Sus scrofa: one gene and its partners. The protein of the gene in region 5 purifies or fractionates together with the protein of the main gene of each other region. This does not show direct contact. Links are inferred from orthologs where the notes say so. Each region holds a gene or a part of one and is shown on either strand. Other genes may lie near its edges. The genes, in order: ACBD5, ARHGEF12, AFTPH, OSBPL11, VAPB, OSBPL9 and WDR44.

Region 1 (3,500 bases), on a different chromosome or scaffold from region 5:
AACAAAAGTTTTCCATAGATTTCATCATTCCTACCTTCTAAGCATTTAGAGATTTTCTCCAGCCGGACTAGCATGTGAAAGTAAAAAAAAAAAAATTTGACATATAAATATTAATGCGTGAGTAATGTATCTGTTGCTGAATTTAAAACTAAGTAAAAGAGTCCAACCTGAAGTTAAATCAGAATTTCTGCCACTCTTTTTGTCCTCTACAATTTCATAAAATGGACCAATGACATGTAGCAATTCTTCAACTTTTTCAGTCATCGGCATAGTTTCAAGAATCTGTAATCAAAAGAAACAAAACTTGTGAAAACAAGCTACTAATGTAATCCTTGCTAGCACCAAATAATATAATATTTATAATTTATTTATTGATAACTGAGATCTGAAGTTCTTTTATAGACTCTTCAAAGTCAATTATATACTTAACGTATATACTCTCCTGTAAGAATTTCAAATGTATTAAAGGTTTTAAAGTGTTTTCATTTTGAAAACTATTTTACATAAGCTTTGTGTAAAATTTTACACAATAGTCTATAGATGATGCATTAAACACTTAAAAGTACTAATGTTAAATAAAACAGAATACTGTGGGCTTAGAGGAAAATTTGTGTCTGTTCTTAACACCAAGGTAATGTTTTCAAAAAGGTATTGAAGGGAGTTCTCTTGTGGTGCAGGGTTAAGGACCCGGCATTGTCACTACAGTGGCTTGGGTCACTGCTGTGGTGTGGGTTTGATCCCTGGCCCAGGAACTTTCATGTTGCAGGTGTGGCCAAAAAAGAAAGGGGGGAGTTCCTGTTGTGGCTCAGTGGTTAATGAACCCATTAGCATCCATGAGGATGCAGGTTCAATCCCTGGCCTCACTCAATGGGTTACGGATCCAGCATTGCCATGAGCTGTGGTGTAAACTGCAGACACAGCTTGGATCCCACATTGCTGTGGCTTTGGCGTAGGCCAGCAGCTACAGCTCCAATTCAACCCCTAGCCTGGGAACCTCCATATGCCAAGGGTGTAGCCCTAAAAAGAAAAAAAGAAGGGGGGATACTTAACTAGGAAGTGGTAACCACTCTCAGAAACCTTCATAACTAGGGGCCAATTTAGAATCATCATGTTTAAACAACAAGGTAAATTAAATGAAAAACATTCAAATAAATAGCCATCAACTGGTGACTGACGAAATAAAGTGAAGTATTTCTATATATGGACAACTTTGCAGATATTAAAAATACTATGTTTAGCTCTGTATGTGCTGAGTGGAAAAATACCTATAATATTTCTTTCTTTTATGGCCACACCTGCAGCATATGCAAGTTCCCAGACTAGGGGTTGAATGGGAGCTGCAGCTGCCAGCCTATGCCACGGCCACAGCAACACCAGATCCAAGCCACATCTGTGACCTACGCCACAGCCTGCAGTAGGCCAGATCCTTAACCCTCTGAGCAAGGCCAGGGATCAATCCCGCATCCTCATGGAGACAACATAGGGTCCTTAACCTGCTGAGTCACAGTGGAAACTTCCCATAAATTTTTCCACAGGCAAAAAGCTACTTGCCACACAGTAAGTTTAATATGACATCATTATTAGTTTTCTTTCTTTTTAAAATAATAGAAGATATATATGTATGTATATATACTCTAAAATATGGATATATATTTTTTTCTGAATCACTCCACAAAATATAATTAAAAGTAATTACCACTAAAGAGTTAAAATGCAGGAAATAGGGAAAGATTATAACAATATTGAAGGTAAAAAAAAAAAGAATGTTATCAAAACAAAGTTTTACATCTTTCTCTGTTTTTGAAAGGCTCCTTTGTTTTGCTACTGATACAGCAAAAACAGCCGAAAGAATTAAGCTCTGCCCTCTATTCCAAACAAAGTCCACTAAACAAAAATTGTGAAAATGTAACAAAGGGCACAACTTTGACCTGTGTAGAAGAGATTAAAACAAAATAAATTAGTCTGAATCTACCAAATAAAAATTACTATAGAGGTTAATATTGTTAAAGCATCTGGCAAAAAACTACCCTTTTTTACAGGTTTTCTTTTTGTTGAAAGACAATTTATTTAAGATTATCGTAAAACAAAAAGCAGAGTTCCCATCATGGCTCAGTGGTTAACAAATCCAACTAGGAACCATGAGGTTGCAGGTTCGATCCCTGGCCTTGCTCAGTGGGTTAAGGATCTGGCGTTACCGTGAGCTGAGTGTAGGTCGCAGACACGGTTCAGACCCCACGTTGCTGTGGCTCTGGCCTAGGCTGGTAGCCACAGCTTTGATTCGACCCCTAGCCTGGGAACTTCCATGTGCCATGGGAGCAGCCCTAGAAAAGGCAAAAATACAAAAAAAAGAGAAAAAAAGAAAAAAAAAAAAACAAAAAGCAAAAAAGGAGTTCCTGCTGTGACACAGTGGCTCAGGTTGCTGACAGTGGGTTAAAGTATACTGAGTTGCTGCAGTTGCAGTGTAAATTGGCTTCAATCCCTAGCCAGGGGAACTTCCATTTGCCACGGGAAAAAAAAAAAAAAAAAAAAAAAGGATTATCAAACAGATCTAGATTTCATAACTTCTGATCCTTCACCAACATACATATCGTCCTTTATACAAAGGCACTAAGATCATCTTTAAAAATCCATGATTTCTTCATCAATTTGCTCCTCTAAACAATTCTTTTAACAGAAGTGCTAGTTTATAAAGAATGCCCTCGTTAGTAGTTACAAGAGAAACTAAAAGCATCCTTATTCTGCTTCTGAAGGATCTTTGCATTCACAGAAAAATGCTTGCAGAAGCCCTAGCACAGGAACATCTCAATTTATGAGGCAACACTTGTATGAGAACAATGTTGGGCAGCCTTGTTACCCATTTCTCATAGATGAAAAGTTTCAAAGCAGAAATGTTTTTGAGACAGCTCAAGTACTTCCCAGACTCCTAAGGGACCTCAACATTTTAAAAGATTCCTATTGGGAGTTTCCATTGTGTCTCAGTTTCCTGACTAGTATCCATAAGGATGTGGAATTGATCCCTGGCCTTGTTCAGTAGGCTAAGGATCTGGTGTTCCTGTGAGCTGTGGCATTGACTGGGGCCGGCAGCTTGGATTTGACCCCTAGCCTGGGAACCTCGATATGCCACAGGTGCAGCCCTAAAAAGCAAAAAAAAAAAAAAAAAAAGTTCTACTAATATACTTTCTGCAGAAGTCACCTATAGAGAAAGGGAAGACAAAAAAAATATAAACCGAAGTATCATGTCACCACAATGTGATATAACTTAAGGAAAAAATATCTACCTTAAGATAAACTTTGATGAGAAAGATAAAGCCTAATAAACTCAATATTTATCTATATTCTATATTCTAACATGTTACAATCTCCTTGTTCCTTAAAACAAAGCAGCTCATTTGCCTGATAACAAAATTAAATAAAGCTGTTCTGAAAATTTTTATTTTCTTTGCTAATTATTTTCCCTACCTTCTTCATTTCTTCAACATATGCAATCATGGCTTCCTCTT
Region 2 (3,971 bases), on a different chromosome or scaffold from region 5:
AATACTGAACCAGTACTTTCAGATTTCACCCCAACATATATCCAAATCGGGGACAACTACTCTCCTAAGAGCCAACAGAGGAGTGATATTTACAGAATAAGATATATTTAAAGAAAAAGTAATGCTCCCATATGAACAATTCTTATGAAAAAAAACAAAACAAAACCCCAAACTAGTAGTAAATTCCAAAGAAACACGAATACATACTGTCTCAGAAATACATATTAAGTGGTGTTTAAAGTTTCCTCTCTGAAAATATGTACAATCAAGCAGCACTTGAACTAATTCAAGGATATTAATACCCAAACCAATTTGCAGATTCATCTTATACTTGGAATACTCATCTCTTAATCCTTTGTGCCCAGCACAGCACCTGGCAAAGAACATGCATTAACTGCATGCTTATTGTATATTTATATCTCATCTAAGTTATAGAAAGGATAAAAACCCCAAGACCTTATTTCTAAGATAACGAAAGAGGAAGAAAATTGGAGAAATAAAGATGAAGAAAGGTCATTACTTGGGTGCTTTTAGGAGATTTTCACATAGAATGAATTGGTGACCGTAGGTTCTGTTTCTACAAAATTAAACGCTCCTACTACTGCAATGAAAACTAGTAGGACTACATTAGTACCTAATAAGACTTTTCTACAGGTTCAACAGAGAAAGCAAGAATTGAATGAACCAGAAAAACAATTACCCACACACCCAAGAAAATGATTTCTCAGAGGCAAAATAACCTGAGAGGAAAAGGAATGGGAATAACTTGAGGATATCAAAATAAGCATTGTTGCTATTCATGTTAAGTGTACTCTCAGAGAAGGTGAAAATTAAAATGCATTAAAAAAAACTCAAAAAATAGTTTAAACATTTAATGGACTCTTTTAAGTGAACATTCACGTGATACCGGAAAGCATCAACAGGAAGAGGAAATTCTGTTTTTGGAGTATCTGTTATGGTATGATAATGGAATTTGGCCCTTTTAAAATCAACAAATGAGTCTTACAATTGGGTAAAACTCTCTTATTATGAAATTAAACTACCTTTTGAGCACCACTAATGTTGTATTCATCAAAGTGCTTTCTTTAGCCCCTTACTTCATTTATTTTTTAGTTTGAAGGTTGACCCCCCTCCCCAGAAAAAAAAAAAAAAAAAAAGCTGACTGAAAACTTGGGACCTGGATAATTATGGCAATGTCATCATTAAACTGAAAAACAAAATATAGTAAAAGAATATACTTTTATCGTTAAACCTAATATTCCAAATAACTAAAGAGTAAGGGAACTCCACTTAAACCACAAATAGTCTAGTTCAATTCACCAACCACCACCAAGTAACCTAGGTACATACTACAAAGGACGCACCCAACTCAGCAAATCACCTGCCAGCCTTACTACATAATTCGCTTAAGCTTTATACTCCTTAAATGCAAATGTTTCTGGAAGATGAAATACTAAAAATGCAATAATTAAAATCTAGCCCCATGGTTCCTTGATAACTGCCCCTACCAGGTACTTAGGATTTACTAGTAATTCCAATATTCTGGAAAATTATTAAGATGATCAACACCGTGCAAGTCAATAGGTAAAGGATATCAAACTCATAAATCACGCGGCAGCTTCACAATGTTCACAAAAAAAAATTCCTAAACTGAAGCAGTGTCTATAGGACTACACGAGAGAAGTACAAGCGATGATGCACCAATACCCCAGCCGACTTCGGGCGCTGACCTTCACCCAAAATGACCTCCCTCTGGTCCCAAGATCCGTACAGAATCCTAATGCAAACTACCGACAGAAAAACACAATCATGGCTTTACCTACCCCTCCTCCGAGAATCTGGAGAAAAGTTTCTCTCCAGAAAAAAACAAACAAAACAAAACAAAACAACCCTACATTTCTAAATTCAATCAACCGGGGAACTTGGCAGCAACCCCAGGCTAATTGCAGAGCTCCGAAACAACCCTCTGTGCGATGCCTGTCAACTTCACTGGGCAAAGGCACTCGACAATCACTGACTCTCCTGCTAGGTCGGGCCCCAACCAGGGAGGCTAAGCGCAGGGTGAGCTTCATACCAACCTGTCGGTGATAGTAGACTGTGTGCCACTCATTGGGGCCCTTGGCGAGAGGTCCTCCTTTTATCCAACTTGCATTTTACAGTAACACCTCCACCCCACCCCCGGCGCTCTGGGATCAGGCCCGACTCCGTAAGGGACACAAGAGTCCAACTCAAAACTCCATTCAGGCATCTAGAACGTCCGACTGGAAGGGGTCAAGGAAAGGGGATGGAGATGGGAGCGAGGCAAGTTATCTCCCAAAATAAACCGATCAAGTCCGCCAGAAGGCGAGTCCTAGAGCTAGAGAGCGATCCTCGGGAAGTCACAGGAGAAAACTTCGTCACGGAGAGAAGTCGGCGAGCCTTGGGGAAGGGGGCCCGGGAGTCACTCCCGGGCCGGGGCAGGAGCGGCTCGGGGCTGGGTGTCGGTTCCTCCTCCGCGGTCTCGGGGGCTTGCAAGTCCCCGCCTCCAGGCCCGGCCCGCTGGGCTCCGCTCTCTATCTGGGGCTGCCGGCCGCTCGTGGCCACAGTCTCGGCCGCGTCTCGGGCCGCCCCGCGCCAGGCGCGCGCGGCTCCATGGCCCCGGGCCGGGGAACCCCTCTCGTCCTCGTCGCCGCCCCCACCAGGCTCCGGGCCCCGGGACGAGTGCGGGAGCCGGGGGAGGGGATCCCGCAGCCGGAGGTGACAGGAACCTGATTTCTCAGCGCCGCGGGCTGCTACCCATCCCTCGGAGGCCCCGACTCTTCCGCGGTCAGCACAGGCGGCGGCAGCAGCGGCTCCTCCCCGACGCGCCGGTAGGCGGCGGTTCCCGCGAGGGGCGGAGGTTCCCGTCCGGCCCGGCCTGGAAGTACCGGCTCCGGAGGCCGGCGGCGGCGACGGCGGCGACTCGGAGCGCAGAGCCGGCTCGCCGGGTTGTGGGGCCCTCACGGGGGCGCGCGCGGCGGGTGGAGGAGGCCGCCGATGGTGGGGGGCCGCCCGACAGCCGCGGGCGCGCGCACGGGTTCCGGTTCCGGTTCTGTCTTCCCGGCCCCGGCAGCGTCCAGCGCGAGCGAGCTCACTCTTCCCCTCCCCCGCCGACTTTTTTGGCCTCCTCCCCTCTGACTTCGGGAAGCCGCCTCACCCGGGATCCCTCCGCGGTGCGCGGGGCCGCCCGCGCCGCCCCCGCTTGCCGACCGCGGTTGCGCGTCAACCCGCGCGGACGCCTCCGCCAGCGTCTTGTTGGGGGGAACGAAAAAGTAGTTCGGCGGAGCGGAGGGAGGTGGGGACGGTCTGGTCCCGGGACTCCCACTCGCCAACCCACTGCCGTCCCCAGGAACGCGCGAGTGCCGGATATCTGTACTTCGTAGTCTAGTTTTCGCCAGGGACCGCCAAAGAGCACGTCCCTAATCCAGAGGAATTGAGAAGAAGCTCTTTAGAAATTACCCACCCTCTCGTCCTGGAAACTTGTAGTCTTTAAAGGGAGCATACTTGTTCTTTTTTTCGGAGAACCCTATAGACTGCTTTGGGCCGATGGAAGCGAACTCGTGTCCGGATGCACGGACACCGTTCCATCGTTTGTGAAACAAACCCCAGCACAGAGAAGTTTTGGCCTTGGGCGCTCACCTGGGGCACCTGCTGGCCTCCTCCCAGGATAGGGACCGCCGCGCACAAGTCTTGGCTGCCCACGGAGGGTTGGAGGACGAAAGTGTATGGGACTGGAGAGACGACAGAGTTTGGGAACTGGAGCCAGGATTTCTTCGTATAGTGTTGCTTTTAGGCTGCTGCTCCTGCCTTGGCAAAATGAAATGTTATTATTTGCCAAATTGAGCAAGCATGGTGCTTTCCACAGCGACTTAACAAGCTTGTTGTGGAAAGAAATGGGAGCAAAAAACAAAGTATATTTATCCAGTAAATAGCTTTACAGTTCTCTTTGAAGA
Region 3 (2,742 bases), on a different chromosome or scaffold from region 5:
AATGACAGAAGTGCAAAAGAGTTCCAATGGATCATTCCCATGGCTGATGAGGGAGACTGCTGTGGGCTGACTGCCTCATCTAATGAAATATATATATCATGTGACTTTTTGCTGAAGCAGTATCTAACCTAATATTTAAAAATTACTTTTAAGAAATTTTCTGCTCACTTTAATTTCATGCATATATTTTTTGGGAAGAAAAAAAAAATCCCTACAAATCTCTTAACCAACTTGGCCAATTCTGATGAAGATACATTATAATGAGTCATGGGAATTTCTTGTATGATCTCATGTTCTACATAAAAAATAGTTCAGCTACTAAAAGGATTGATTCCAATTCTTATGGGTGAGATTCTAATTCTTCTTAGTTTTAATACAGTGGAATGGAAGCCCTACCAAATCATTTTCTCTGGATTGAAACTCATTAGGAGGAAATAAAACTTAATGTCCAAATTCGTTACCTTTTCCCTCAGATACCAAAGTACAGACGCCAGGCTAAATTTCTTTTAAAGTATTTTATTTTTGTGTAAGCTAAAAGGAAATTTACACACTGAAATCTCAAAAGACCTTGGGCATGCACATTAACCTTGTTAGAGGTTCTTCTACATGTCTCTCTCTTTTTTCCATAGGAATTTCCCCAAACATTTAAAACCCATAGTTTTTACTGTATATACAGCCTAAACCATAGCAATCTATGATTATGTCATTTTACACTGTGCAAAATCCTCAAAAAATAGTGGTATGGTAGAACAAAAAAAAATCAGTAACAAGTAAATTTCATTGTAAGACATTCATATAATTTGGTCCTTCTCAAAACCAAACTGATTTAAAACAGACACAATCTCGTTAAACCCCTCCAATCAAATTCTGACAATGATCCATAACCTATAACAAGAGAGCAGTCGATGAAGTACCTTGCAAAAGGTCAAAGAGCAGAAGGCCAGATTGAAAAGATTAAAAAAGAGCACAAAAAATGGTAACAAAAGCCAGATCTGAAACAAACCCACCACACATAAATTTAAAAAAAAAAATGAAATGGGGACATAGAGCTTATTTATGATAGCAAAAGTAATTCAACATAGGATATGAAAAATTAATAGGACAGTCAATGCAATCTGAAAAAACTGAAAGGGATTTCAGACAGTGGAGATTTGAGTTTTTAATTTTCTTTTTTTTATTTCAAAAGTTTTGTAAGAAGGACACCACCAGTGTATTTCACAAAGACATAAATGTATACACCCCAGCAACACAAAAAGAATAAATCTTCAAAAATGTTCACCCCCGATTATTTACATTTGTTTCTAATATAAATTTACGACTTCAGTATGTAAATAAATATACATTACTATGTATACCTTTCTAGTGCGGCTTACCAACAAATCAGCTGAACTTGAGTTTCTTTTTTTTTTTTAATTAGAGCAGGTATGCTTTTGATGGTAGGGAAGGGTGGAGAGAAGGGAAAGCAACTGATAGTGTCCACTTCACACCAGTTATCCGTCTGCCTTCTCTTGGGAGCCTGTGGAAGGTGTCAAGGTGGCGGGGAACATCAACACCTTGGCATGCATGAACGTCAGGTCGGGAAGGCTGGCGATCACCTTGATGGCTTCCTCACTCAGGTGCTCTTCTCTTTTCGGTTTCCTGTTGACAAATGAAAAAAAAAGGAAGGGTGTTCACGTGACTTTGCTGTAAGCCAAATGGGATAAAAATCTACTCCCAGGGTAGGGAGCCATGGTGGGGACCTGACTACCTTTTCCTCCGCCAGTTCCTGACCTCGAGTGCTTCCTGTGCTAGAGGCCAAATTTCTTACGAAGATTCACACCAAATTTAATTCATTTAATTTAGTTGGGCTTGTATATAGAGACATTCGCATACAGCTGTGTACAGCTCACAGCTGCTTAAGGTTAGAAGCATCTACCCAGGTGCACTTTTAAAATGGTACTAAGCAGAGACATAACGCGAAGACTTAGGAACACTCCGCCCAACTGGATTTCCCCCTGCTCTACCCCAAGAAACTACCAAAGTTACCTCAACATGCGTCTAGCACAAGATCTTGTAAGTCATTTTAACCTCAGGCTTTCTTCATCCCTAAAGGGGAATTCCAGGACAGAAAGCCCTCAGCTCAAAAATACTCAGCCTCTGCCCCACCGGGGTGCAGCTGGCAGGTTCCGAGGGGCCAACACGAGGGCCAGCTGCTGATGCAGAGAATGTACACAGGCAGGAAGGACTCAGGAAGAGGAGACATCTCAAAATCCAATGGGTCCTGTAGATGAAGTGCCCCTAAGGTAACAAGTGGGCAGTGTGGGGCTGAGCACGGCAGGTGAGCCACAGAAAATGCCAACTGAGCCTCAAATGTGGCTCAAATTGGGTACCTAACTGTAATCCAATCTTTATTTTTTCCAGGTGTTAAGTACACTGAAAGAATAGCTGCAGTCATAGGTATTAATTTTAGACCAAAGTTCATTTAAAATCGTTGACTCTAAAAGGCTCAATTTCCCTTTCATGGTAAAGGATAGCTGGTAATCTGTTAGGTGTGACCCAAGTTATTTCTTCCACCTAAATATTCTTTGTCCTTTAGGATGAGCAGCAGGAACTCAGGAGATGAAACAAGAGAGGAAACATAGATGCAGGCTTTTATTTTTATTTTTAAAAAAAGTTTTATTGAAATATAGTTGATTTGCAATGTCACGATAATTTCTGCTGTACATCAAAGTGATTCAGTTATACGTAAGAACACATCCATTC
Region 4 (3,500 bases), on a different chromosome or scaffold from region 5:
ATGGCAAAAAGACAAAACAAAACAAAACAAATTTATTCCTCACAGTCCTGGAGTTTGGAAGGCCACAATCATGATGCCAGCCTGGCCAAGTAGAGGTCCTCTTTTGGATTGCAGACTTCTCATTGTATTGTCACATGGCCGAAAAGGGGCAGGGGAGCTCTCTTGGGTCTCCTCTAAGGGCACTAATCCCATTCATGAAGGTGTTCCACCCTTGTGACCTGATTGCTTCCTAAAGGACCCATCTCTTACTATCATTATTTTAGGTGTTAAGATTACCACATAAGAATTATGGGAGGGGCACATTCAGATCATAGCAGATTACTAAGTACAGGTCACATGATTTAGAAATTTAAGATGATTTTAGTGGCTGTTTTTGTGTTAATGAATAATCCCTTCAAATCTTAGGGAAAATAATGTTAGTCCTTTTAAAAATAGGCAAAAATGTGAGGGGCAGTTCACTAAGCAGAACTACATATGGTCAATAAGCACATGAATGTTTAACTCCTCTAGTAAAGAATTGGAAGTTTAAAACAAAAATACTAAAATTACTTTTATCAAATGTAATTAGTGTAAGTGAACATAATTTTAAAAATCACGAATGTGCTAAAAGATGAATAAGAAAAACAATAGTCTTTTGCTTTTCCATCTCCCTTTTCAGGCAGCCGCTTCCAACTTTTTTTACTTGCTTCTCATCATTTCTTTTTCTTTCTCAGAATAAAAGGCTGATTCCATTCTCTCCCAGTTTGATATGGTTAAGCTGTTGCTTAAGACAATATCTTCTAGGCACTTGAACTGGATCAAATTGTCTACCTGGTTCTATTACAGAACACACTGACAGGTAGAATGCCAAATTGCCCTAAACCCAAACATTACTTTTTTGAAACAGAAACTTTTTAGTATTTTTTCTAAAGAAAAGAACTATTACACTACTTAAATTGGAATCTGAATTAATATATTTCCTAAAGTAGTTATCTAAAACCGAATCAGAACATCAAATTCTTTTCCAAAGTGTATCAGTATTTCATTATTTAGTTTCAAGTTCCTTATTGCTTCTGCATCTCCTGTTGCAGCTTTTTCATTTTTAAACAGGATGAGTAATCTTTAGTTGTGACCTATTTAATGAATGATACATTTACAAAATCTTTGTACTTTGGCATTATTCTTATTATTTATTCCACTGATTAAATCTTAAATCAGATTCATGTCTTACCTAGCATTTGTTAACCTCAGAGCTCAGGTTTTGATTTGTTTCCAATGAATTTTAAATAAAAATTCTCTCTACCATTTGTCTTTGGGCCACTTACCTTCCCTCCCTGTTAATGAATTCTGGGAGGAAATCTTCCTTTGAAGGAATACTGTATCTTTGTTTCCTTTTTTGCTTTATCTGGTATGCCACTTCCCTGTCAAATGTCTCTTTCTCAGCTCGCAGTTTCATGTCTTTTATGAAACACATTGAATTTTCAGTAACACTTACTGCCAGGAAATTCAGACTAGTAAGTTTCTAAGTACTTCTTGAAATACTTTTGAATTTTTTTTTCTTTTTTCTTTTTAGGGCCACACCCACAGCATATGAAGGTTCCCAGGCTAGGGACTGAATGGGAGCTACAGCCGCCGACCTTTGCCATAGCCACAGTAATGTGCGATCCAAGCTGTGTCCTCGACCTACACCACAGCTCACGGCAACGCTGGATCCCTGACTCACTGAGCGAGGCCAGGGATCAAACCTGGGATCAAACCTGCATCCTCAAGGATACTAATCAGATTCGTTTCTGCTGCGCCCCGAAGGGAACTCCTGAATTTTTTTTTTTTAATAGCTAAACATCCAAAGTTTATGATTAAAATTTGGTTTGCTTTAGTTTGACCAGGGGAAATATTTTAAAATTATGACTTTTTTTCAATCATTACAGGTTTTTTGTTTTAAACAATGAAGCTGGGCTGTTGGAGTACTTTGTGAATGAACAGTCTAGAAATCAGAAACCCAGAGGTACTTTGCAGCTTGCAGGAGCTGTAATCTCACCCAGTGATGAGGACTCTCACACCTTCACTGTAAATGCTGCCAGTGGGGAACAGTATAAACTCAGAGGTATGACTGAGATATGACAATATGAGAATTAATAGTATGATTTTCTTCTTCCCTTGAGAAGTTGGTGTACTTCCCTGCTTTCATTTAGGTTTTGGAAATAGAAACTGCTCTCATTGATGATACAGACACCATATTCTAAACCTTGGAATTGCTGTAAGGATTTATGTAATCTGTTTTAATTAATACTTTTTTTTTAAGTGGCACAGTGCTCGAATCTGTTTAAGATTGGGCCCTCTGAGAAATATGTGTAGGATAAATCCTGATTATTGAGAAATCTAAAAAGACAGACTTCTTAAAATTTTTTTAAAATGTCTTCCACAGAGTTATATTTTACCTCCTTTCCTGATTTAGTTGGTATGCTTTCTTTGTCATTTTTAGTGACTAATGTACATGATTGGGATTTATTAAAATGCTTATATTTATTAAATGAAGTATAACTTCTGTTTAGATAAGTTAAATTTATATAGTTTATGTTTTTATGTAATTAATACACATAATGTATAATGACAATCCTAACTGAGCATGCTGCTAGAGAGCTTAAAGAATGTTTTGAGTACACATCATATGGTTTATACAGGTTATTTCTTTAAAGAAGAGCATATTTTTATGAGAAAGTAAAGACATGTCAATCTTATATACCCACCTAGCTGTGTGTAATTTGTCCTCCATATGAAATATCCACATCCAGCTATGGTGTTACCTAATATGGTTGATACTTTGGCCTCTTTCCATCCTTCCTCTGGTCAGGGACATTTGCTCTAGGGAGAGAAGGACCAATCATTGATTTTCAAGGCTATATTCTTTATGCTGTAGACAATTCATTGTATTCTAAAAATAAATATAAATGTGAATAACTTGTATATACTTTTTATTAGCCACAGATGCTAAAGAGAGACAACACTGGGTTAGCCGACTTCAGATATGTACGCAACACCACACTGAAGCTATTGGCAAGGTATGTGGATTCATATATAATATTAATGTACAAAAATGAGGAAAGTTTTTTGGTGTGGGTTTTCTTTCTTTCTTTCTTTCTTTCTTTTTTTTTTTTTTGGTTGTAACGTGCAGCAGCTTGTTGTGGGATCTCAGTTCCCAGGCCAGGGATCGAACCCAGTGGTAAAAGCACTGAATCCTAATCACTAGACCACCAGGGAAATCCTAGGAAAGGTTTTTAACTTTACTGTTTTTGGAGTTCCTGGCGTGGCTCAGTGAGTTACAAACCCAGCTAGTATCCATGAGTATGTGAGTTTGATCCCTGGCCACACTCAGTGGGTGAAGGATCAGGCATTGCCATGAGCTGTGATGTAGGTTGCAGACGTGGCTCACATCCCGAGTTGCTGTGGCTGTGGTGTAGGCCAACAGCTGCAGCTCTGATTCGACCCCAGCCTGGCAACCTTTTTTTTTTTTTTTTTTTTTT
Region 5 (3,972 bases):
AGCAAGCAGTAATTGGTACCTTACTAAATTTATATTTATTGTTTACCATACGTCACAGTGCCTAGCACACATCATTCACCAATAAACATTATGTTTATAATAAGAATAAATAGTGTTTTCATCATTATTCAGTCTCTAAGTGCCTGGCACCGCACAAACAAGGGAAAGTGGAAGTTCATTCTTATTAATTATTATTATTGAGTAAAGCACTTAACACAAAGCCAGGCCCCCAAGGACGTTCAGTAAATAGTCTCCCCCGCGACGGCCCAAGACTCCCGGCGTCCCGGACCCGCCCCTCCCCGGGACTGCGCGGCGCCCCGCCCCCTGCCGCCCGGCAGCCCCGCCCCCACGGCCAGCGCTGCGCTTGCGCACTGCCCGGCAGGGGCTCCGCGCGCGCTCAGCTCCCCACAGCCCGAGCGCGCGCCCGGGCCGAGCAGGCCAGCCTGCTGCGTGCGTGCGTGCGTGCGTGCGTGCGTCGCTGCGTGCGTCGCTGCGTGCGTGCGTGCCGTGCGCTCGCCGGGCACCGCGGCCTCGCCCTCGCCCTCCGCCCCTGCGCCTGCACCGCGTAGGCCGCCCCCCGCGCGCACCCCGTCGGCGACCCCCGCCCGCGCCCCGGCCGGCCCCCCCTTTTCCAAATTTAAAGGGGGCGCAGCCTTAACGCTTCTCGCCCCAGGTGACCTCTCAGGGGTCTCCCCGCCTGAGGTGCCCCGCTGCCGAGGAACATGGCGAAGGTGGAGCAGGTCCTGAGCCTCGAGCCGCAGCACGAGCTCAAATTCCGAGGTAAGCCCGGAGGCCCGCCATCTTCGGCCGCGGGCCGGGCCCGCCGCCCCGCACCCCCTCCCGCGCTCCGGAGGGCCTGGCGGCGCGGCCGTGACGTCGGCCCCCGGCCCGCGGCCCCCGCCCGCTCCCCCCCGACGGCGCGCCCGCCCCGCGCCCCCGGGCCGCCAGGCGTCCGTGCGCGGGAGTCCAGGGCCTGCTCCTCCACAGCCTCCCTGCGCCTCGCCCTCGAGACACTCGCACAGTTGCCAGTGTAACTGTTCCTGTCCAGTGTGCGGCCTCCGCCCTGGTGTGGGCGCCTTCGCCGAGAAGGTTTTTCGCCTGCTCGGGGCATAGGTCAGCTGTCACCTGCCCAGGGAGGACGCCTGCAGCCGGTCCCCGTCGCATGTGTTCGTGGGCAGGTCGGCTCTTGCCACGACCTGGAAGGACCGTTTCCGCGCTTGTTTACCCTGCTGGTACACTAGAAGGGAAACTCCATGAGGACAGGACCGTGTCACGTCTCCGCTTCCTGCCCCGCACGTCCTAGGGGCCTAATAAATACCCGTTGAACAAAAGAGTGGCAGGAGCCTCCGCACACGTTCTGGCGGGACGTGGCCCAGCCTTCCTTGCCCTGCCGTCCTCATGCCCGCGGCTCACGTCTGTGCAGCGAGGGGGGCCTCGCAGGGCGGCGAGATCTTTTATCTTCCCAGAGGAAGCCCAGGGGGCCACGCGTGTTTGTGGCAAGCCAGAGCCCCTTGTAACGTCTGTCTTTATTTTCCGTCTTACCGCCCCGTCTTCTCCACCAAAATGAAAGTGCCAGGAGTCTCTTGTCTGGGACCTCATCTGACTTACCCAGTGCCATCTTTTCAAGTGCCTTGAGTAACGTAAGCTTGGCACTGGAGGGGGAGGAATGAGCCAGAGGGACAAGTTCCCCGATCTCATGCTGCGTACCTTCTAGTGAGGGGGACACACGAGCGCGCAAGCCTGGTTCAGGGAGTGGCACGTGCCGCGAAGGACCTGAAACCAGCCGGCCCTGACGAGCATCTGCTTAGACTGGACGCCCAGGGCCCTGCTGTATTGCCAGCACTTGGCTTACTGTAGGCGCTCAGTAGATGTTTGTGGAGTCGCACTGCATTCTGGCCACATGCACCCCACTTTAAATTATACTGGCAGGAAGTAGCCTAGGGTAACTTACCCAAACTTAACCCAGTTAGCACACATTTGAGCTCAGACTTCAGAGCTCACCCTCCTTAGCAGTTCTGCTGTCCCACCTCTGGGAGCTGTTCCAGTCCTGTGGCTTTACATTGCCTCCCAGGTTAACAGTCTGAAGTGACCCTAAATGTATAAACAGCTGAAGGGTGTCCAGTTAAAACCAAAACAGACCCCCTCAAAGACCTAAGGTGGATGGATTATAATTCCGCGAGAGAACTGGAGTTTGCGTGCTGTCCCGCTGGCCTGCTCCTCCAGGGTCCGGGCTGGGAGTGGAATCCCCGGATGGTGCTGACCATGAAGGGGATGGTTTGCACGTGAGGTGTCCGACGTTCTCTACCCCGCAAGCCTGGCTTCGCCGCTCCTGGGCAGCAGCACATTCCTTCATTTAGTCCGTAGACGTGTGCTGCTCCAGGTGTCAGGTACGAGGAGGCGAGTCACATCACAGGTGTGCCTCTCCACGCCCCCTTAGGTCCTGCAGAATCAGCCAGGACGGGCGAGGGTCTGAGGGAATTCAGAGTGCTCCGGGAGCCGGGAGGAGTCAGCTCCAGAAAGATGTGTCATTCGAGCTGTGTGTGAAGGTGGAAGGGAAGCAGGCCATGGGCAGGGAGCGTGGCAGCAGAGGGAACTGCATGTACAGTGGCACAGAGGCTGAGTAATGGGGCTCCTTTGGGATGGTAGTTCTGAATGACAGCAGCAATGAGCACTTGCTGGAGGTCACGAGGCCAAGTAGGAGACCAGGCTGGCTTGTGGACAGGAGTCAGGTCTTCTGTGGCCTCTGCCAGAGGCAGCCAGTGTCCACGTTCAAATTATGTTGTCTTCTCAGCCAGTTTTTTGATCCCGGGTAACCTTAATCCCACCCCCAGCATGTAGACTTCCTACAGTGATGTATAGAAAGAGGCACTAATTGGGGACTATTAAAGGTTTTGTCCCAGTTCTTTCACTTGAAGATGTTTGACCTTGGGCTGGCCGCTTCACTCTCCAGAGGAGTATTTGGTCAGCTGGTGTCATCCTTTCAGCTTCTTTACATGAACAGTGTGGTGGAGAAGAGTGATCTCTCTGGCCCAGGGCTGGCCAAAGCCCCTGGATATTTTTGCTAGGGAGGTGGTCCAGGAAAGTTGCAGTGTCAGATTGTTGAAGGCTGTTGGCTTGTGGCTTCAGAAAAGGCACCTGGAGGCATGTATAAACCAGTTTATGCGATTTTTTTGTGGGTTTATTTCTTTTTCTCTTTTCCCTTTATTGGCCATGCCTGTGGCCTATGGAAGTTCTCTGACCAGGGATCAAATCTGAGCCACAGCTGTGACCTGTGCCACAGCTGCAACAACATTGGATCCTTAACCCACTGCACTGCCTCAGAGGCAATGCCAGATCCTTAACCTGCTGTGTCACAGCAGGAACACCTGTTGGTTTGTTTTTAAACTGAGCACTAAGGTAGTGAAATTAGAATAGAGGTTCCGGAGTTTGTGGCACGGTGGAAACAAATCCAACTAGGAACCATGAGGTTGTGGGTTTGATGCCTGGCCTCACTCAGTGGGTTAAGGATCCGGCGTTGCCATGAGCTGTGGTGTAGGTCACAGACACAGCTCAGATCCTGCACTGCTGTGGCTGTGGTGTAGGCCAGCAGCTACAGCTCCAATTAGACCCCTAGCCTGGGAACCCTCTATATGCCGAGGGTGCGGCCCTGAAAAGACACAAACAAACAAACAAAAACAAAGAGGTTCTGTGTCCTGGCTTGCTGTTTCGGGATCATTCATTTCAGGATGAGAACTGGCACATACAGGTTACTCAGGGTGATGAATCTGACTTTGGATGGTTCGCTTAGATGAATCAAACTTGTCAGCTAACTTTGCTTAAGAAGGTAATAGAGGAGTTCCCGTCGTGGCGCAGTGGTTAACGAATCCGACTAGGACCCATGAGGTTGCGGGTTCGGTCCCTGCCCTTGCTCAGTGGGTTAACGATCCGGCGTTGCCGTGAGCTGTGGTGTAGGTTGCAGACGCGGCTCGGATC
Region 6 (3,500 bases), on a different chromosome or scaffold from region 5:
AATCTGACTAGGAACCATGGGGTTGCAGCTTCAATCCCTGGCCTCACTCAGTGGGTTGACAGTCTGGCATTGCCATGAGCTGTGGTGTAGGTCGCAGATGCAGTTCGGATCTAGCATTGCTGTGGCTGTGGCATAGGCCAGTGGCTAGAGCTCCAATTGGCCCCCTAGCCTGGGAACCTCTATATGCCATGGGTGCAGCCCTAAAAAGCTAAATAAATAAATAAATAAGCTGTCATGTCTCAAAATCAAATTACATTTTTAAAAATCAGGAGAATCATTCCAATTCATAGGTAGTTCACCTACTTACTCTATTAAGTGCTTTGGGGATGAGCCACTTTGATGGAATTCATCAGCGTCATAGAATTCGTCTTCACTGCTAGAATAAGAGAACTCTGGAACTGTGTTTGGAGACAAGTTGACATGGCTTGGAGAAGTTAGACTGCTACTAGGTGGTGAGTGTCCACTGCCTAGGAAGTTAAAAAGTTTTCAATTAGGGGACAATGTTGGTAATAAAGGGAGATGGGGTCAAAGCAGACCTTTCTAAAATGAAGAAATATTTAAGTTGGTGGAAGTCTCTACACTAATTGTAAAGAAAACCAACATTTAAACTAGACAAAGAAAAAGGCAAATCACATCATCCACTCAGACACAGCCTTTTAAAATAAATGAAAAAATGCCATGTCCCCATGGCACTAATAATCACAGTGTGTAAGTTAAGGGTGTGGAAGTCCCATAACAGACACCACTACCAATGGGAAGCCAGAGCTCTTATGCAGATACCTAAAAAATGCAGCAGTAAGCCAACAGTACATAATGGAAAGACTATCAAAAATCACATGAACATGATTTGTCCAAATGGACACATTTTGGCTGTTTCAAAATTCTGACATAATTCCTCCTTATATAAAAAAGAAAACACGGGAGTTCCCGTCGTGGCGCAGTGGTTAACGAATCCGACTAGGAACCATGAGGTTGCGGGTTCGGTCCCTGCCCTTGCTCAGTGGGTTAACGATCCGGCGTTGCCGTGAGCTGTGGTGTAGGTTGCAGACACGGCTCGGATCCCGCGTTGCTGTGGCTCTGGCGTAGGCCGGTGGCTACAGCTCCGATTCAACCCCTAGCCTGGGAACCTCCATATGCCGCGGGAGCGGCCCAAGAACCAAGAGATAGCAACAATAACAACAACAACAACAAAAAAAAAAAGAAAACACGGATACCGTCTTTAAAATGACACCATGTAATGAAATACAGAAAAAAGTCAGCCAAACATTTCAACCTCATTATTCAAACTGCTTATCAGTATTTTCCCAAAAGCTTCAAATGAGAACTGTCGTTGCTTGCTTTCTTTCAAAATTAAGAAAACATCTGCTCAGGCTGTTAAATATTAAAAACCAAAGCAATAATATCAGCACTTTTACTGGTGTAAATTTCACAACGGGCGAAAAAATCACAGTAACTTTTCATTATTACACAGCAAAGTCCCTCCCAGGAAAGAACTTGCAGAGCAAAAGCAGGGGCTTATCTCCCACCTCCTCCACAGGGGTTTTGTTTGGCCTCCACATGTAACAGGGATGAAAGCACTAAGTGCTCCCTTGAGTTTGGTTCTACTGGTAACCAAATTGGTTTTAAAACAAGAAATAAATATCTATGCAAACAATGTTAGCATCCCTGTTAATTAGAAAAAAAAAACAGAAAAATATAAACCATAAGTCTGATAAATCAAGAAAATGCAAATTGAAATGATCTTTTTTTTTTTGCCTATAAAACTGGCAAAACATGACTGATAAATCTATCCTTAAAAAATACATATGTGGGAGTTCCCATCGTGGCGCAGTGGTTAACGAATCTGACTAGGAACCATGAGGTTGCGGGTTCGATCCTTGCCCTTGCTCAGTGGGTTAACGATCCGGCGTTGCCATGATCTGTGGTGTAGGTCCCAGACAGGGCTCAGATCTTGAGTTGCTGTGGCTCTAGCGTAGGCTGGTGGCTACAGCTCCAATTAGACCCCTAGCCTGGGAACCTCCATATGCCACGGGAGTGGCCCAAGAAATGGCAAAAAGACAAAAAAGACAAAAAAAAAAAAAAAATGTATGTGCCAAAAGTTACTGTACAAGGATGTTCCCTGAAGTACGGATATTTACAATAGGAAAATACTGGAATCAACCTAAAAGTCCATCAGGAGGAAAACAGGTAATAGCTACTTGAGCAGCTATGAAAAGAATGCTGCAGACTCCATGAGCACAGACAACTCTCTAAATGTTCTTAGTTAAATGAAAACAGAAAGTCCCAGAACCACATGATCTCATGACAACAGAAATATACAATATAGATATGTATGTACATACATGCATGCAAACAACAGAGATGAGCAAAGAAGACTTACAGCTTTTGTTCTCATACTTCTGTATTGTTTGATTGCTTTATAGTAAGAAAGCGTGTAAGTCTAAAGAGCAAATTTTTTTAAAAAGCCAATATAGATCCTCAAAATAAATCTGAAGGTAAGCAAATACAGACAACTCTGCGATACTTTATTTCATTTAAATTTTAACTATAACTAAAGCTTCTGGTTCAATCACAAAGTTAACCAGTTCATGAATGTAATTACAATGGTAAGACTATGGTATCTCCAACTTGAGCATTCAACCTTTCTTCAATCTTTTTGCCATCAGTAAGCAAACCAAATTTTAAATGTTAGCAGGCAGTTATAAGAAGGGAAGGAATCTTACAAGTCTGTACCTGTACTATTTGGTGTTGGAGTCTGATGATGTCCCAAGGTAGCTAACACAGGTCCAACTGGTAGGGAAGATGGACGCTGCTCTGATTTACATAACTGAGCAGGTTCTAGAAGATATGAACACGTGAAGTAAGTTAGAGAAAAAGTCAAACACAACTCTTTAACTGCAACTGTGTGGGATTCAAAATTCTAAAGAGAATAATTTTTTTGTCTTTTTTGTCTTTTTAGGGCCGCACCCATGGCATATGGAAGTTCCCAGGCTAGGTGTCCAACCAGAGCTGTAGCCACTGGCCTACGCCAGAGCCACAGCAATGCCAGATCCAAGCCACAAGTGTGACCTACACCACAGCTCATGGCAACACCAGATCCTTAACCTACTGAGTGAGGCCAGGGACTGAACCCACAATCTCATGGTTCCTAGTCAGATTCGTTTCTGCTGTGCCACGATGGGAACTCCCTAAAGATAATAATTTTTGAGATTATATTCCATTAAGTCAAGTTCCACTACTCCTTTCTGACCTCCTATACCCTTTGAGCTCAACGATATGCTACCTAGTACTAAGACACTAGAGGCAAGATATCAAGAGACTAGTCAAGACATGCCAATACCTCAGTATAACTGCTCTGTAAAATCAGCAAATGCTTCTGATGATAAACTGTTTCCAAGCAGTTTATCATGCATGTTTCCAAGCCACATGTAAAATCTAAAATGGGGCACAGTACTTCCTCTTTAGTCTCATGAGAGATTATTAAGCTTATTCTCCTAAGG
Region 7 (3,500 bases), on a different chromosome or scaffold from region 5:
TTATGACCTTTACATTTTCAAGAACAACAACAAAAAATCTAATTATACCTCGTCAGTAAGCTCTCTCCCAGAGTTGGACCTGGGTCTCTGAGGACCCATCACTTCACCTGCTATTGTCTGCCCGTCAGGTGCTTTTCCATTTTCCTGAAATTATAATTTTATAAACAGAAAGGACACAGAGTCAATTTCTATAAATATTCTATTATTCCTTACCGCACATAGTATAATATCCGTAATACAGATAATGGTGCCTACTGAAAATTTAAATGGAACACTCCATTTCAGTCCTTGATTATTCCCAGCATGCTGAAAAACATTAGGTACCAAAAGCATTGCTGCTCATGAAATAACATTTTAGTAGTTTTGAAAGCAAATAAATGTTCCATTTGAACTTGGCCCAAAAGCAGTTCTCTACTAGTAGAATGCCAGCACTAAGACTGTCATTAATCAGGGCTATACACGTGATTATCTTAAGGGCAGGGGTCAGCAAACTTTTTCTGTAGAGCCAGATAATAAATATTTTATTTAGGCTTTTTACATCACATACAGTGTCTGTTGTCTAGTCTTTTAAAAAAAAAAAAAAACCACAAATCTTTAAAAACATAAAGACCATTCTTAGTATGGGGACCCTACAAAAATCAGGCCACTGCTAAGGCTTTGACAAGACTATTGTGTCTTAGTTTCCAGTCTGCTAACTTGCCGCAACCACAGCTAACACATAAGTAACCCCTGAGTCCCAAAATTTGGTGGTGGTAAAAATTCATGTTACCAAGTCCCTTCTATTGCCTCATATAAGGATACACAGCCTAGTGTATGAAGCTTTTTTTTTTTTCATGATTAGGGAAAGCAAATTATAAAAAAATAAAAGCCCCTAATTTTCACCACTATAGGTCAGGTAAATGAAGACTGTAATTGGTATTTATTAAGAAATATTACATATAGTAGCATCTGTCATTTTTTGAATGCCTACTACATGCCAGGTACTTGGCATACTTCAGCAAATTTCGATCTTGCAAGAAATCTTTAAGGAAGGTTTCCCCCACATCTTATCAACGGGACATCTCAGGTTCAGATGTAAAACAGCTTGCGAGAATCAGCCCACTACTTGGTAGCAGAGCTGGACAAGGGATGTAAGGTAGTCAGGTTTTTTAGAGACAAGGAAATATTTGGCCTGGAGAAGAAAGAAGGTTCAGTAATAAACAAACCAGCCAGTTGCAGGAAGTTGAGAAAGCCTATATAAAATATATCATGAATTCACCAACCTGGGCAGTAACTATTTTATCTCCACTGGTAGCACTTGCCAAATCAAGAGAAGGCTGAGAATCTTTGACTGTACTCTCTGAAGCCAGACTTGTAGTTAGGAGAGTATCAGGTGTAATATTCTCTTTGGGAACTGCAATAATAATAATAACAACATTTATATAGCTTGAAAAGTTTTAACATTTGTCTGATTCTTAGAATAATCCTACGAGGAAAGTGATTTTATTACTCTTGTTTTATATATGGGGAAACCAGGGTTCAAATAAGTTATTTAAATTCCTCAAGGCTATACAGCTTACATCCGAAGAGATCTAGGACTTGAATTCAAATCTTAAGTCTCCAAATCCTATGTTCTTTTCACTACGCCACACTGGCTCTCGATTGGTAACAGATTTGAAAGTCTGCTGAAATGTTTAATTACAGTAAGGTAACTTAACACCAATGTAAACATTTTGACTTTTTATTACTAAAATAAGTTTTATTTGGTTATCAATGTGGTTAGATATAGCATAAACTGGAAAAAAAAAAAAACAACCCAGAAAGTTAAACAGTTTCAACAGCAAAACCTTCCCCCAAAAACATTAATTTCTCAATTAATACTTGCCATCTAGGTCAGGTGTCTTAAGAGCTTCAAACTCCAATTCGCTTTTCTTTTTTCTTGGTGGTGGAGCAGGTCGAGATGGAGGTGGGGGTCTAGGAGGTGGGAAATTGGTTGGAGGGGGTGGACGTGCTGGAACAGGTTTCTTTGTACTAGCTACTATATCAGGTTCTGGAGTAAGCTGTCTTGGGGGTTTGGCAGGAGCAACTTCTTCCACAACAGCAAAATCTTTAGTAGATAAGGAGTGTGAGGATGCGGGTTCTAGAACATCGCTTTCTTTGACTTCCACTGCTTCCTTGTTCAACATTTCCGTTTCAGTTTCAGGCACATTAAGCTGTTCAGCTGAACTTATTTCAGTTAACTTAGTGGTTTCATCTACTGGCTTCTCACATGTATCATCAGAAGGAAAACACTTTTGTGATTCTATTTCAGTTTCTTCAGATACATCTTGACTTTCTGCCTTTTGGGAACCTTCCTGTAGTACTTGATCTATGGCTAACAGTACAGGTATATTGCTAAGATCTGTTTCAGCCACGACAGGATTGGCAGTAGCCTGATCAGAGTGTCCTTTTCCTCTGGAATCCAGAGAGTCATCTTCAAGCTGTAGTACTTTCTGACTCTCTTCAATAATACTTTCGATAATCTGATAAAAGGTTAAAAAGCAGTTTTAAAAACCAGTGAAGCTCTTTACAAGAACATAATAACAGCCAATCATTTATATAGTACTTACTATGTGCCATACAATGTTCTTAACACTTTATGTATTTTAGTCTTTACCACAATCTTGCAAAATAGTGGGTTTTTTTACTATCATCATTATACAAATGAGGGAACTAAGGTACAAAGGGATCAAGTGATTTGTCCAAGGTCACAAAGCTAGGAAGTGATAAGGCTGGCATGAACACAGGGAGTTTGGTTCCAGAAACTATACTCTTAACCACTATGATAGGGAATCTGTCTTAGTATGTGGAATCACAAAAGTTCAATCAACCCTTTAGAAGAAAGTTTAAACCTGAATTTACATTCAGATACTTCATGCCATAGTTCATTTACAAACTTATGCCACGTTAGCTGCAGCAACAGCCTGCTGATTTGATCCTAGTCAACAAAAGTATGAGGTCAAAACCACCTTGCACACGAATTCAAGTTGTTCAGCTCTGAATTCAAGCCTGACATAAAGAGCCAGCAGGTGCAGGGAAATAAATGTTCTTAAACAGCTAATTCCCTGCTATGCAGAGAGATGGCAGGACCATGAAGAGTCCAAATCCCAACTCACCTTGCCTTTTTCCTTTTTATTTCTTATCTATAGCTGAAAAACACAGAGAGGTTTTCTGTGTCTTCCGCCAGCATTTAGAAAAAAAATATATTTTTGACCTAGTCCTGTTATTATTAAATCTCCAAGCCCACTTCTCTTTTCACCATGGAGCCATGGATGACTTCTGGTTTCTCAATTCTTTGGCTCCAGAAAGTTAATAGAATGTGTCATGGAGCTATCCTGATCTGGTTTATCACAAACGCATGCCAAGTTGAACTGGATATTACGCTTCTCAGTAACAGTCTTCCCTGCTTTCCCAGTGTATTCCATATATCAGTTTTTCTCAATCTTCAAATTTTTACCCAAGATCTACCTCACTTTTGTCAG

Evidence for each region.
Region 1: the proteins of VAPB (region 5) and ACBD5 purify together in Homo sapiens (affinity purification with mass spectrometry; 4 studies listed by BioGRID and IntAct, counting the BioPlex papers as one, with this or other methods). This does not show direct contact. The link is inferred for Sus scrofa from reciprocal best matches to the Homo sapiens genes VAPB and ACBD5.
Region 2: the proteins of VAPB (region 5) and ARHGEF12 purify together in Homo sapiens (affinity purification with mass spectrometry; 3 studies listed by BioGRID and IntAct, counting the BioPlex papers as one, with this or other methods). This does not show direct contact. The link is inferred for Sus scrofa from reciprocal best matches to the Homo sapiens genes VAPB and ARHGEF12.
Region 3: the proteins of VAPB (region 5) and AFTPH purify together in Homo sapiens (affinity purification with mass spectrometry; 3 studies listed by BioGRID and IntAct, counting the BioPlex papers as one, with this or other methods). This does not show direct contact. The link is inferred for Sus scrofa from reciprocal best matches to the Homo sapiens genes VAPB and AFTPH.
Region 4: the proteins of VAPB (region 5) and OSBPL11 purify together in Homo sapiens (affinity purification with mass spectrometry; 4 studies listed by BioGRID and IntAct, counting the BioPlex papers as one, with this or other methods). This does not show direct contact. The link is inferred for Sus scrofa from reciprocal best matches to the Homo sapiens genes VAPB and OSBPL11.
Region 6: the proteins of VAPB (region 5) and OSBPL9 purify together in Homo sapiens (affinity purification with mass spectrometry; 7 studies listed by BioGRID and IntAct, counting the BioPlex papers as one, with this or other methods). This does not show direct contact. The link is inferred for Sus scrofa from reciprocal best matches to the Homo sapiens genes VAPB and OSBPL9.
Region 7: the proteins of VAPB (region 5) and WDR44 purify together in Homo sapiens (affinity purification with mass spectrometry; 4 studies listed by BioGRID and IntAct, counting the BioPlex papers as one, with this or other methods). This does not show direct contact. The link is inferred for Sus scrofa from reciprocal best matches to the Homo sapiens genes VAPB and WDR44.

What each region holds. Positions count from the first base shown.
Region 1 is NC_010452.4:48,911,281-48,914,780, forward strand, and holds part of ACBD5 (acyl-CoA-binding domain-containing protein 5), read right to left. Parts: coding exon 3,460-3,500; intron 283-3,459; coding exon 168-282; intron 68-167; coding exon 35-67; intron 1-34. UniProt on the Homo sapiens protein: Acyl-CoA binding protein which acts as the peroxisome receptor for pexophagy but is dispensable for aggrephagy and nonselective autophagy. Binds medium- and long-chain acyl-CoA esters.
Region 2 is NC_010451.4:47,474,960-47,478,930, reverse strand, and holds the start of ARHGEF12 (rho guanine nucleotide exchange factor 12), read right to left. Parts: upstream 2,801-3,971; 5' UTR 2,111-2,800; coding exon 2,079-2,110; intron 1-2,078. UniProt on the Homo sapiens protein: May play a role in the regulation of RhoA GTPase by guanine nucleotide-binding alpha-12 (GNA12) and alpha-13 (GNA13). Acts as guanine nucleotide exchange factor (GEF) for RhoA GTPase and may act as GTPase-activating protein (GAP) for GNA12 and GNA13.
Region 3 is NC_010445.4:77,351,372-77,354,113, forward strand, and holds the end of AFTPH (aftiphilin), read right to left. Parts: intron 1,639-2,742; coding exon 1,491-1,638; 3' UTR 501-1,490; downstream 1-500. UniProt on the Homo sapiens protein: Component of clathrin-coated vesicles.
Region 4 is NC_010455.5:134,742,351-134,745,850, forward strand, and holds part of OSBPL11 (oxysterol-binding protein-related protein 11), read left to right. Parts: intron 1-1,907; coding exon 1,908-2,083; intron 2,084-2,958; coding exon 2,959-3,038; intron 3,039-3,500. UniProt on the Homo sapiens protein: Plays a role in regulating ADIPOQ and FABP4 levels in differentiating adipocytes and is also involved in regulation of adipocyte triglyceride storage. Weakly binds 25-hydroxycholesterol. Interacts with OSBPL9 to function as lipid transfer proteins.
Region 5 is NC_010459.5:58,594,364-58,598,335, forward strand, and holds the start of VAPB (vesicle-associated membrane protein-associated protein B), read left to right. Parts: upstream 1-1,172; 5' UTR 1,173-3,972. UniProt on the Homo sapiens protein: Endoplasmic reticulum (ER)-anchored protein that mediates the formation of contact sites between the ER and endosomes via interaction with FFAT motif-containing proteins such as STARD3 or WDR44.
Region 6 is NC_010448.4:160,412,882-160,416,381, forward strand, and holds part of OSBPL9 (oxysterol-binding protein-related protein 9), read right to left. Parts: intron 2,839-3,500; coding exon 2,734-2,838; intron 468-2,733; coding exon 308-467; intron 1-307. UniProt on the Homo sapiens protein: Interacts with OSBPL11 to function as lipid transfer proteins.
Region 7 is NC_010461.5:96,984,788-96,988,287, reverse strand, and holds part of WDR44 (WD repeat-containing protein 44), read right to left. Parts: intron 2,502-3,500; coding exon 1,865-2,501; intron 1,394-1,864; coding exon 1,263-1,393; intron 145-1,262; coding exon 49-144; intron 1-48. UniProt on the Homo sapiens protein: Downstream effector for Rab11 which regulates Rab11 intracellular membrane trafficking functions such as endocytic recycling, intracellular ciliogenesis and protein export.